3 linked regions of the Tribolium castaneum genome follow. Each later gene encodes a partner of the first gene's protein in a complex. Links are inferred from orthologs where the notes say so. Each region holds a gene or a part of one and is shown on either strand. Other genes may lie near its edges.

Region 1 (2,552 bases):
AAAGCCGACCATAGGCGAGCTGGTGCGCCCCGTCCGGATGGACACCCCCACATTCCAGGAAAAGCAGTCGAAGTTGGGCGGCATGAACGAACATATCGGCAAAGTGAAGTGCGTCTCTAACATCGTCGAAAGAGTCACCGAATGCAGCAACTTGGGCGTGTGCGACCCAGCGAGCGACAGCCTGAGGTAACGCCCGCTTTTGTGTGGCGAGTGATTAGTCTCGTTTACAGGTTCGCGGGCCAAACGCTGAAATCGTCGAACTTCGTTCTGGTCACAATAACCAAGCAGGAGGTGGTCACTGTCAATTGCGAGAACATGGTCTTTGGGTCCGTTATGCTCAACGAACTGCTACATAATCTCAAGTCATAAGTTGCTTCAGCGTATTTGATGTATTGTACTTGTTTGTAACGGGAAATACTTGAACATAATGTGCACTTGCTAAACGCCGAGCTTCCTTTTGCGTGAATATTATGTTGGATGTATTTGCCACCTAGTTATCACTTTTCTTTTTTATCCTTTCAAATAAATATTTATGAGAAGTGTGTGTTTGGATTGAAACAGCGGTAATTCATATAAATATATTGTGGTAAACTTTACCCAAAGTGAAGAGTTGCTCACTTGTGGACAAACTTTACGATAACTTTTTACAAAAAAAGGAAATGGAGTATTCACACTCGTGAAAGCGGACAAACAGTAATATCGACGACTCTACAACGATTAATCTTTAGCATACAGCATAACGTACTCATTCACTTTCATTCTAAATTCCTCCTTAGAGTTTCTATACATATCCGAAGCTTCTATATTTAAAGGATCGTCAAAATTTAACAAATCCTGAAACAAAACGTCAACCGTGTCCAAACGATCCGATAAATACCGTAAATAAGGCGTGTAGGCCCCAGACGACGTCGTTTAATCTCCTAATGGGCGACCAGCCCAGCCCGTCCATGCTGTGCTGCCTCAGGAGCGATAGGCACACTTCGCCGACTTCGGTTATGTTAGGGTGCCACAAACGCGTGAGGCATCTGACAGTGGGAGGCTGCAAACGAGACTCAACCGCCGATCGCAACTCGGTGGCAATACTTACAACCATGTTATACTCTTCGGTAACGTTAATAGCAAATCTAAAAGTACCACCCTCCCAAAGGCCCTCCGTGGGTCTCACGGTTAAAATGAACTTGCTCAAATCGTTCTCATTCTCGTAGAAAACTGAACAATTACTGGGCAAAAGTTGGGCCATTTCTTGTGATTCTTTAATTAGTAGTTTGTCCCTGATTGAAATTCGGTTCGTGTTAGAAGAACGGTCTTCTTGCTGTTTTTTCAAGCGTTGGGATAGCGTAATCATGATTCTACAAATTATTATTGAAACACAATGAAAATCATCGCATTGTTTATGTTTAATTTTGATATAAATTTTTGGTTAGGTAACTGACAGCGCCGCTGTCAACGAGAGTGACCCGGACCGAAAGATCTTCGAACCGAATTTTTTTTCAAATTGTTTAAACGAAATAAGGCGAAAATACTATCAACTGTTACTTTAACATAATTTTGGTTAATAGAAAAAACTCAAATTTGGGGTGGTCTAATTGTGTTTTATAACACGTATATGTACCATGGTTATTTAAAAAGTTTCCACCCAAATACTACAAGACTTGACCTTGTAAATCAAATTTTTATTTCCAATGTTTTGGATTTTTTTACTAAGGAAGGAGAGACCCACATGAATGATTTATTAAATGAGTAAAAATAGTTTATTGCGTAAATAAAAGATACATTTGTGTTTACTTTTTGGGGCGTACTTGAGCGGCTTCGTTACCAAACATCTTCCACAGGCTTCTTCTACGGCAGGGTGGTCTTATGATATTATCTCTTAAACAAATTTGGTAGACCTCCGGGTCTGTTTTGGCAAGGTTGAGGACCTCAGCAGAGCTTAACTCCCTGAATAGAAAATTTATGTTAAAAAATATAAGTACTTATTTGAATTTTTTACGTACTCCCAAATCACCGAAAGACGCCCACGATTGTCTTCCCTACCTCGAACCTTCTTGGCATCTTTTTTAGACTGTTTTGATGAGACACAACCCATTTTCTTCGCGAGTATACGACTTATAAGCATGTAACTGCCGCAACGCTGATACCCCTTTTATTCATTCTGATAGTATGTAGACTGATAAAATATTTTCATGAAGATTCCTAACAGGTAAATCGGTTATAATCAGCAATACGTAACAGGTGCGCCACCCAAGTGAAATATTTGGATAAATGGCCCTAATTAAGTTATCAAATTATTAACGTAAAAATACAAAAATGCGAATAATGACGCTTAAAATTTTATCATAATATTGTAACATGACTTATTTTTAAAAGCTTGCCATACGAAAATCACAAAATTTTTTTGAAGAATCTAAAATTACAGGCAAATGTCACATTACAATAAAGGTTTTTTTATTGTTTTGTATATACATTTAAATTGTAGATAATTTGCAAAGAAATGTTCACAAAATTTGATTTGTGACACGTAATACTGATAGCCCAATTGACAGTATGTTATT
Region 2 (3,757 bases), on another chromosome or scaffold:
AAAAGTTATAATAAAATTACGGTTTACATTAAATTTGAACCCCCTAAGTATATTTTTACATCGATATTCATACAATTTTAACTATGTACTTGTGCAGTAATGAAGTCGATATTAGTACTTACTTGGTATTCAGATATGCTTAAAAATTATAAAGAAATAAGTCTCTGTTTATGCCGATATTTATAAACTAGAGAAGTTATTAGCAAAAATAAGCATACTTAGCTATTCGTAATCTTATATTTCTGCAGAAAACTCAATTTACTAATCGACGCTGTGTCTGCCGTACCAAGAACTTGAGAAAAATTTTTAAAGCTAGACCGATCGTAACATCATAATAACATGAGATCGAAAATATATTCAATTAGAGCAAGCTGTGCCTGCCGAACTTTAGCCGTTTATTCTCACTTTAGCCACACTTTTGAAGTTATGACATATGATGTGGCTAAAGTTACACTTCACTTTCAAGGCCTGCTCTAATTGAGTATATTTTCGATCTCATGTTATATATGTAGCGGTTTTTAGCAGAAAGTGTGCACTAGTTTATGCCATCATTTCCTGATGGAGATAGGCGATTTATTTAATTTTAAATTATTTTACCAAGAACGCAATTTTTGTGTTAAGTTAATAAGCTGAGAACTGTCGGCTGTAAGTAACAGAATTTATCGGATGATTTTTCGGCGATTTCAGTCATTTCAAAAATTTCACTTACAAACGCTTTAGAAACATTCCAAAAACATTGATATCTTGAAAACTGCTACTATAGTCTCACTTTAACTACGTAGAATTTCATGTATAGAAAAACATTTTTTACAATAAAAAATAAACGATATTTGAAAACTTTTTTGGAACTATGATGTCCAAAGCAAAATGCCAACCAAATTTGCATTTAAATCTACCTGTCTCTAAGGTATTTTGTAGATATGGTGTTTTACATTGAACTGTTGTTAGAGTATAGTATATGAAGAAAACAATTTTGTTTATTAATTTAGACAAATAATTGTTAATGATGAGTATTCAAATAAATCTAAACGTAAAAATAAGGCAAAATATGTAAAAAACATATTAAAAAAATTGTTGACTGCTTGTTTTTCCTTGGGACAGCCGTGTTGGAGATGTTGAAATTGTTTGCAGATATAAATTTTTTCTAGAAAAAAAATAACAACTCGAAACGTAACAGTCTCAGATGAAAACTCTGGATGTTCGAATTCGTGTACTTAGAATTTTGTCAGTTCCAGAGTATTCCAAGTGATTCAACGGCTCACAAAAAGTTGATTTAATATTTTTAAAATTCACACAAAATAGGATCAATAACACAAAAACTATCGGCGTTAGTTAATAATGCTTCACATGTTCGAATTTTTCAGTCAATTATTTGTCGATTTCGGGACAGTTTGAGTGACTCCGTGCCGATTTATAATGCTGCTTTTTTTTCCAACTTGACACTTCAAAAATCTAGAGAAATAGAGAACCCTGCATTTCTGACTGATTTGCAATTTGAACGTAAAAATAATAATAATAGTGGAATTTTTACAAGTCTGGCAGTAACCAAACGAGCAAATTAGTAGCTACTTAAGTGATCTAAGTACTTGGTCATAAGAATAAACAGCTTTTTATGAATATGGATGGGTGAAGTAAATGCCAATACTAATGAAGTAATTTTTATGAACAAACATCACCCAATTCTTGCTGGCTAGAAATCAGAATTGTCCTTAAAAGGCAGCCGTTTGCGGCCAGATGTTCGCACTAAACTTAACGACCCAAGTCGCAATAAAAGGAATCGTAGCTGCAAGTCGAGCAATACCATGTGTCTCCATAAATTTTTTGAATCAAACTTGCAACCCACCTTCTTTACGGCAATTGGGCGAGTTGTCCAGGGCCGTACTGTTGGGCTCCTTGAAGCACGCCAGGCAATTGCCCATTGGAAGGGCCCAAACGAAACCTCGCGAGGATTTTCAAAAAACACTCTTGCATTGCCTATGCTGACTTTACCATCAAATCCTACAAAAACCAACCGTCAACATGGAAAAACACCACTGGCGGGCGACTACTAACGTAAGAAATTTCTATTCTACCACTATTTACGCGACCAATTCACAAATTTCGACGAGTTTTTCGACGGAATTTTCATTATGACACTTGGCGAATTCTGGGAGGGAGAATTGTCATTTTTGGCGGTGGTTGCACGCACGCACTAGGCACAGGCATACAAGCGGGCTGATGGGGCGCAAGGGGGCTAAAAGTCCGCTCTTCCAGGGGGCAAACTACAATACATCTGTTGATTTGACAGATGCAGCTGATTTGCGGCTACTTTCACGCCATCTCGGTTGTCAAGTAATCAAACCGGGGCCCCGGGGCGCCCTCTTCACAAACGCGACTTTTTTAAACATGAAATTGTTGACTAAAGAAAAATTGTCAACGTGTAGTGCCCCCATAACATAAATTTAAAAATTTTGAAGCCCCCCAATGTCGTGACCTGCATTACCGACAGTCGTGACGTTAGGCTTAATCAAACACAAGATTCAAAAATTGAATTGTCTTTAATAAAATAAATTAAAATACACTCTAAACAGTCATGGAAAAATCAATTGCAACTTAAATAACAGTCTTTGGTTGGGAAAACATCTTTCTTGCGGTCCTCTCCTAACCCGCACGTTTTCAGAACGTAGCCCATCTCCATGCCTTCAGAGTCCCACATAGACAGTCTCAGGGGTTCCTCTGATTCACTACAATAAAATTATTTCTTGCCTCTTAGACAACCGCTCAACTTACACAACTAGAGCCTTAAAAACTTTTAAATTCATGCACGAGTCGAAAAATGTTTGGGAGGCATTTTTTGGGGCATCTTTCTTCTCCTGACAGCCCTCCAACATACATTCAACCGCCTGAAACAAAACTATCAAAACAAAAACAAGACAGCAATGACTAACTTGGAATGGCACATAAAGAAGATCTTCTTTCATTTGTCTAAGATCTTTCAGTTTTTTCTCTCTTTTGTAACCAAAATCCACAAAGAAAACCTCAATCTTGTCGTTTTCGGCTAAGCCAACGCAAATCCCCCGAAACCATTCCGAGTTTTCTTTGATCAAAACAACCTCCCCGAGGCCGGGATACAATTTAAATGGCTCGTAAGTGTGGACTATATTATTCGAGTTCATGCTCTCTCTCAGCCTCTGGAAGTTTGCATCTGGAATGACAAAATTAACCACTCTATAAAATATTGCGCCCGTTTTAGTAAACTTACTAAAATTCGAAGTCTTGGACGGTGCTGTGACAATTTGTGCGTAAAAACGGCAGGTGCTTATGTACCCCGTTACCAAAACGTCGACACACTGGCCTTTGGGGGGCAAAGGCGTCACAGTGAACGCTTGATTCATCGTCAAAACTTTATCCGTCGTGACGCCATCTTTCGCCAAAACGCCGTGTTCTAGCTTACACCTTGCCCCTTTAAAACAGCCCCCTGCCGCATTAGTGAAGGGGCAAAGTCTTGCTTCATCTTTGGCATCGTATCCAGTTATGGCCTCGTTGATGTTTTCATACTCTTCGAAATCTTCATCCTCTAATGCTTCAAGTCCGTCTGAAATGTCCACTTGGAGGGCAAGTTCGGAGTCGACCAAAATCTGACCCAACGTTTTCTTCCCAAATTTCTCCTCATTCAAGAGATCAATTCCATACGAATTTCCCTCCTTGCATACAAAAATCGTCTCGAATTCGGTTTTAGCCTCCATTTCGCTCATTTGTTCCAAGGCTTCGATACTCG
Region 3 (3,757 bases), on another chromosome or scaffold:
AATACAACGTGAGGTCAAAATTTTTAGAACAAAAAATCGAGTTATTTTCCATTGTTTCGCCTCCTAGTATATAGTTCTCCATAGTCCAAAATAATTATTAAAAATTGTAAACAATGATAAAAAAGTGTGAAATCATCTAAAATACGAGCAAATAACTACATTAATTATAAAAAACATCATTCATGTCAAATTAGAGGTTGGGTAATTTTGAAGATAGAAATCTACTTTGAACGTGCTTTACCGTAACACCATTGCTATCTACAAATTTATTGGTCTCGAGTCAGTTTTTTATACAAATCGATAAATTTAATAAAATAAAAAATATATTGACAATTGAACAAAAAAAAATTTTCAAAAATTAAAAGAATAAAAAAAGAGTAAAAAGATTTTTTCAGAAAAAAACGTGGTTTAATTTAAAAACACCGTTTTCGACCAAAAGGTGGATATTTGAAACGTTGACATTGCAAACGTCAAACAAGCCAGTGTGACCACAGGCCTGCCAACTCAAACAGTGACTCTTGACCACTCTGTATAACATAACGACAGTTTTCCATTTGTGATTAAATATTTACATTAAATAATCAATTTAATTACCTACCACACATGTAACACCTGATAACGTCCCAAAACCGGGCTAATAGTAGTAATTAAAAAAAATCTTACCCTTTTTGAGGGTTTGCTGCAAGAGCGGTTATCCACAAAATTAATTATTTTATCTCCGGTTGCTGGCAACAGAGAATTCCCAACATTGCTTTCCGTTTCTCCAGTCATAATAAATGAATTACATAAAAAACCCAACAATTTTGTACTGATTTTAAATAAAAAATTCAATAAAACAATAAATCACAACGTAACTTTTTTGACATTTGTTTGACAGCGATCAACGCGTTGTTACGTCACGAAGTGGCTAACGCTACGATCTTTAACTTATTTCCGACTATTTTATGGCATTGAGGAGAATAATAATTATAATTAGCACCAATTGCAGTGCATAATTAGTACGTAATTAAAATTCCTGCCTTTGTGCCTGGCTTTTTGCGTGAAATAACTAAACGAGTTGGCGCGTTAGTCACTTCCTTTCTGACAGTTCCAATTTTAAAAACGGTTAAAAATGAGCGAAACGCAAGAACAGAAGCGCTGGGGGCACCTGCGCAAGGTGCTGGAGCGTCCGGGCCCCTTTTGCCACCCGGAGTTCGAGCCGTCACCCGAAATCATGGATTTTATCGTAACCTCCTGCAAGGTGCTTGTCGTGGGGGCCGGGGGCCTGGGCTGCGAACTGTTGAAGGACTTGGCTTTGATGGGGTTCAAGCAGATCCACGTCATCGACATGGACACGATCGACTTGTCGAATTTGAACCGCCAGTTTCTGTTCAGACAGAAGGACATTGGGCAGTCCAAGGCCAAAGTGGCGGCGGCTTTCATCAACAAGCGCGTGCCTGGGTGCCAGGTGACGCCCCATTTTTGCAAAATACAAGACTACGATGAGAGTTTTTATCGGAGTTTTCACATTATGGTGTGCGGGTTGGACTCGATCGTGGCCAGGAGGTGGATTAATGGCATGATTTTGTCGCTCTTGAGCTACGAGGATGGGGTGCTGGATAATTCGACCATTATTCCATTGGTGGATGGAGGTTTGTGCCGAAACGTGGGGGCTGAGACAAAAAACGCGCCTTTTTTCGCAGATGGCGCTGTTTCAAAATATCAGCGCCTTCTTGTTTCAGACGCTAAAGTTATTTCTCTCACAAAAAATTGTGTTATTTTAGTTTTTTTTCCATTTTGATATTTTTATTGACATTTATCTTTATCTAACAAACTATTCGGAAATAAAATTACCGTTGGGGGCGCCACTGAGCTAGGTCGAAAACAGTAACCATAAATGGCGGGAAAATGTTTATTCGGATATTTTGAGCGTTGTACGAATTTTGGGGCTTCACAATTATTCCATTGCCTATGCGGAATGATTATTGCATCTTTGATGCAAGAAACTTATGTTGACAAATGAGAGATGACGAGGAAAACACGAATAACGAATGACTGTTTGGTTCACTTTCTTTATTGGAAAATTATTACAAAGACATTGAAAAACCTACCTTTTGGCATAATTTACGTTTAAATGTATCAGCAGTTGTTAATCTTTATTGTAGTTTTGTACATTTACTGCAGCATTTCATGATTTTTTCAGTGGAAAATTCTAATCTAAAATTCATAACACTTCACTAATTTATTGGTTTCTTGAGCCAAACTTTGTGTTCGCTGTGATTTATTACTTATAATCTTTAATTAGACAACTGTTTGATAACACTTTGTAATCAAAATTTAAATATTTTTCACTTTTTATCCACTTTCAAGTTCCAACAATAAACACTTTATACCATGAAAAACTACAGAACCAAAGTCAACGCTAGTATTTACCACCACGTACTTTTAAAGTAATTCTTTCTATTGTAAGTAATTAACACTATACACGCAAAATTGTTGAACAATTCATTAAATGTCAGTTAAATGTGGCATTACGAAAATTTCTTTACTGTCTTCGACATAGTTCAAAAGTCATCACCAGAGGGCGTCTAGTTAATTTTATTTCCGAATAATTCTTCTTGTTTACAGCGCCATCTGAACTGTGCTGTGGCGCCAAAATTTAAAAAAATATATATAATTGAGTAATAATTTATTTCCAGGTACTGAGGGTTTTAAGGGCAACGCCCGCGTCATAGTCCCTGGCAACAACGCCTGTGTTGAGTGCACCCTTGACTTGTACCCCCCTCAGATCACCTACCCTTTGTGCACAATCGCCAACACACCCCGCCTGCCTGAACACTGCATTGAATACGTAAAGGTGGTTTTGTGGCCCAAGGAGAACCCCTTTAATGCGCCCCTGGACGGAGACGACTCCCAGCACATTGGCTGGGTTTACGAAAAGTCCCTGGAAAGGGCGTCCCAGTTCAATATCCCTGGAGTGACTTACCGCCTTGTTCAAGGCGTCGTAAAGCACATTATTCCAGCAGTGGCGTCAACTAACGCCGTTATTGCCGGAGTTTGCGCCACAGAAGTGTTTAAAATCGCAACGAGTTGTTGTCTACCGTTGAATAATTACATGGTTTTCAATGACGTGGACGGGATTTACACTTACACTTACGCAGCGGAACGGAGGGACAATTGTGTGGTTTGCTCCCAAGTGCCGCAAACTCTACCGATTGAGGATCCGAGTAAAGTCAAGCTGAAGGATTTGATTAAAATCCTGTGTGAGGATGAGATGTTTCAAATGAAAAATCCAGGTTTAACCACGGTTATTGATGGGAAAAATAAGACTTTGTACATTTCCACGATTAAGAGTATAGAGGAGAGGACCAGGGATAATTTAAATAAGACTTTAGTTGAGTTGGGGCTTAAGGATGGCATGGATATCATGGTCGCAGATGCTACGTCTCCCATGACGTTGGTTTTCACACTTAAGTTTGCAACGAGCGATGTTGAGATGAAGTAATTGTGTTATTTATTTTTAATAAAGAAAATTACAAACTGGGTTTTGTTTCATTTTAACGGTTATTTTGGCCCTTGAAATGTTTATTGTTTGATTTTTTTAAGTTCTAACCACTCTATCAATTTTGATATTGAAAAAAACACTTTATATCTTTATATCTTTTTTTTGGTATTATTGCTTAAAATTTGGTCGGAATTTTGACTTAGGCCTTATTATAGCTTCGCCGTAATCGGCCGTAGGGCGTTTTTCTCAGAAAATATGACTCGGCGAAGATAA

What was found. The genes of interacting proteins can lie anywhere in the genome.
Region 2: the proteins of NEDD8-conjugating enzyme UBE2F (region 1) and SCCRO3 are in contact, whole or in part, in a crystal structure (PDB 4GBA), measured with the Homo sapiens proteins. The link is inferred for Tribolium castaneum from reciprocal best matches to the Homo sapiens genes UBE2F and DCUN1D3. Residues at the interface, in NP_001265234.1 of Homo sapiens: Leu2, Thr3, Leu4, Lys7, Leu8; in NP_775746.1 of Homo sapiens: Glu108, Glu109, Glu112, Pro122, Thr123, Glu124, Met139, Cys140, Glu194, Ile204, Ala207, Leu208.
Region 3: the proteins of NEDD8-conjugating enzyme UBE2F (region 1) and Uba3 are in contact, whole or in part, in a crystal structure (PDB 3FN1), measured with the Homo sapiens proteins. The link is inferred for Tribolium castaneum from reciprocal best matches to the Homo sapiens genes UBE2F and UBA3. Residues at the interface, in NP_001265234.1 of Homo sapiens: Thr27, Arg28, Arg29, Val30, Asp34, Lys35, Val38, Lys39, Val41, Ala42, Glu45, Val54, His55, Phe56, Pro57, Asp58, Pro59, Asn60, Leu62; in NP_003959.3 of Homo sapiens: Ala401, Thr403, Thr405, Leu406, Glu407, Gly408, Asn410, Arg411, Thr412, Ser417, Val418, Thr419, Ser420, Ile421, Arg424, Thr425, Gln442, Glu443, Ala445, Ala447, Asp448, Val449, Thr451, Pro452, Gln453, Thr454, Leu456.

What each region holds. Positions count from the first base shown.
Region 1 is NC_087403.1:3,757,157-3,759,708, reverse strand, and holds NEDD8-conjugating enzyme UBE2F, read right to left. Parts: upstream 1,457-2,552; 5' UTR 1,346-1,456; coding exon 1,088-1,345; intron 1,040-1,087; coding exon 878-1,039; intron 835-877; coding exon 718-834; 3' UTR 565-717; downstream 1-564. Other genes in the region: rb (AP-3 complex subunit beta-2), read left to right, coding at 1-186, 231-369. UniProt on the Homo sapiens protein: Accepts the ubiquitin-like protein NEDD8 from the UBA3-NAE1 E1 complex and catalyzes its covalent attachment to other proteins. Together with the E3 ubiquitin ligase RNF7/RBX2, specifically neddylates cullin-5 (CUL5).
Region 2 is NC_087399.1:5,918,451-5,922,207, forward strand, and holds the start of SCCRO3 (DCN1-like protein 3), read right to left. Parts: upstream 2,372-3,757; 5' UTR 2,053-2,371; intron 1,999-2,052; 5' UTR 1,920-1,998; coding exon 1,844-1,919; intron 1-1,843. Other genes in the region: tudor domain-containing protein 1, read right to left, coding at 2,582-2,723, 2,770-2,882, 2,928-3,184, 3,242-3,757. UniProt on the Homo sapiens protein: Contributes to the neddylation of all cullins by transferring NEDD8 from N-terminally acetylated NEDD8-conjugating E2s enzyme to different cullin C-terminal domain-RBX complexes and may play a role in the cell cycle progression by regulating the SCF ubiquitin E3 ligase complex, after UV damage.
Region 3 is NC_087400.1:1,389,389-1,393,145, forward strand, and holds Uba3 (nedd8-activating enzyme E1 catalytic subunit), read left to right. Parts: upstream 1-992; 5' UTR 993-1,111; coding exon 1,112-1,631; intron 1,632-2,678; coding exon 2,679-3,484; 3' UTR 3,485-3,522; downstream 3,523-3,757. Other genes in the region: coronin-2B, read right to left, coding at 664-771. UniProt on the Homo sapiens protein: Catalytic subunit of the dimeric UBA3-NAE1 E1 enzyme. E1 activates NEDD8 by first adenylating its C-terminal glycine residue with ATP, thereafter linking this residue to the side chain of the catalytic cysteine, yielding a NEDD8-UBA3 thioester and free AMP.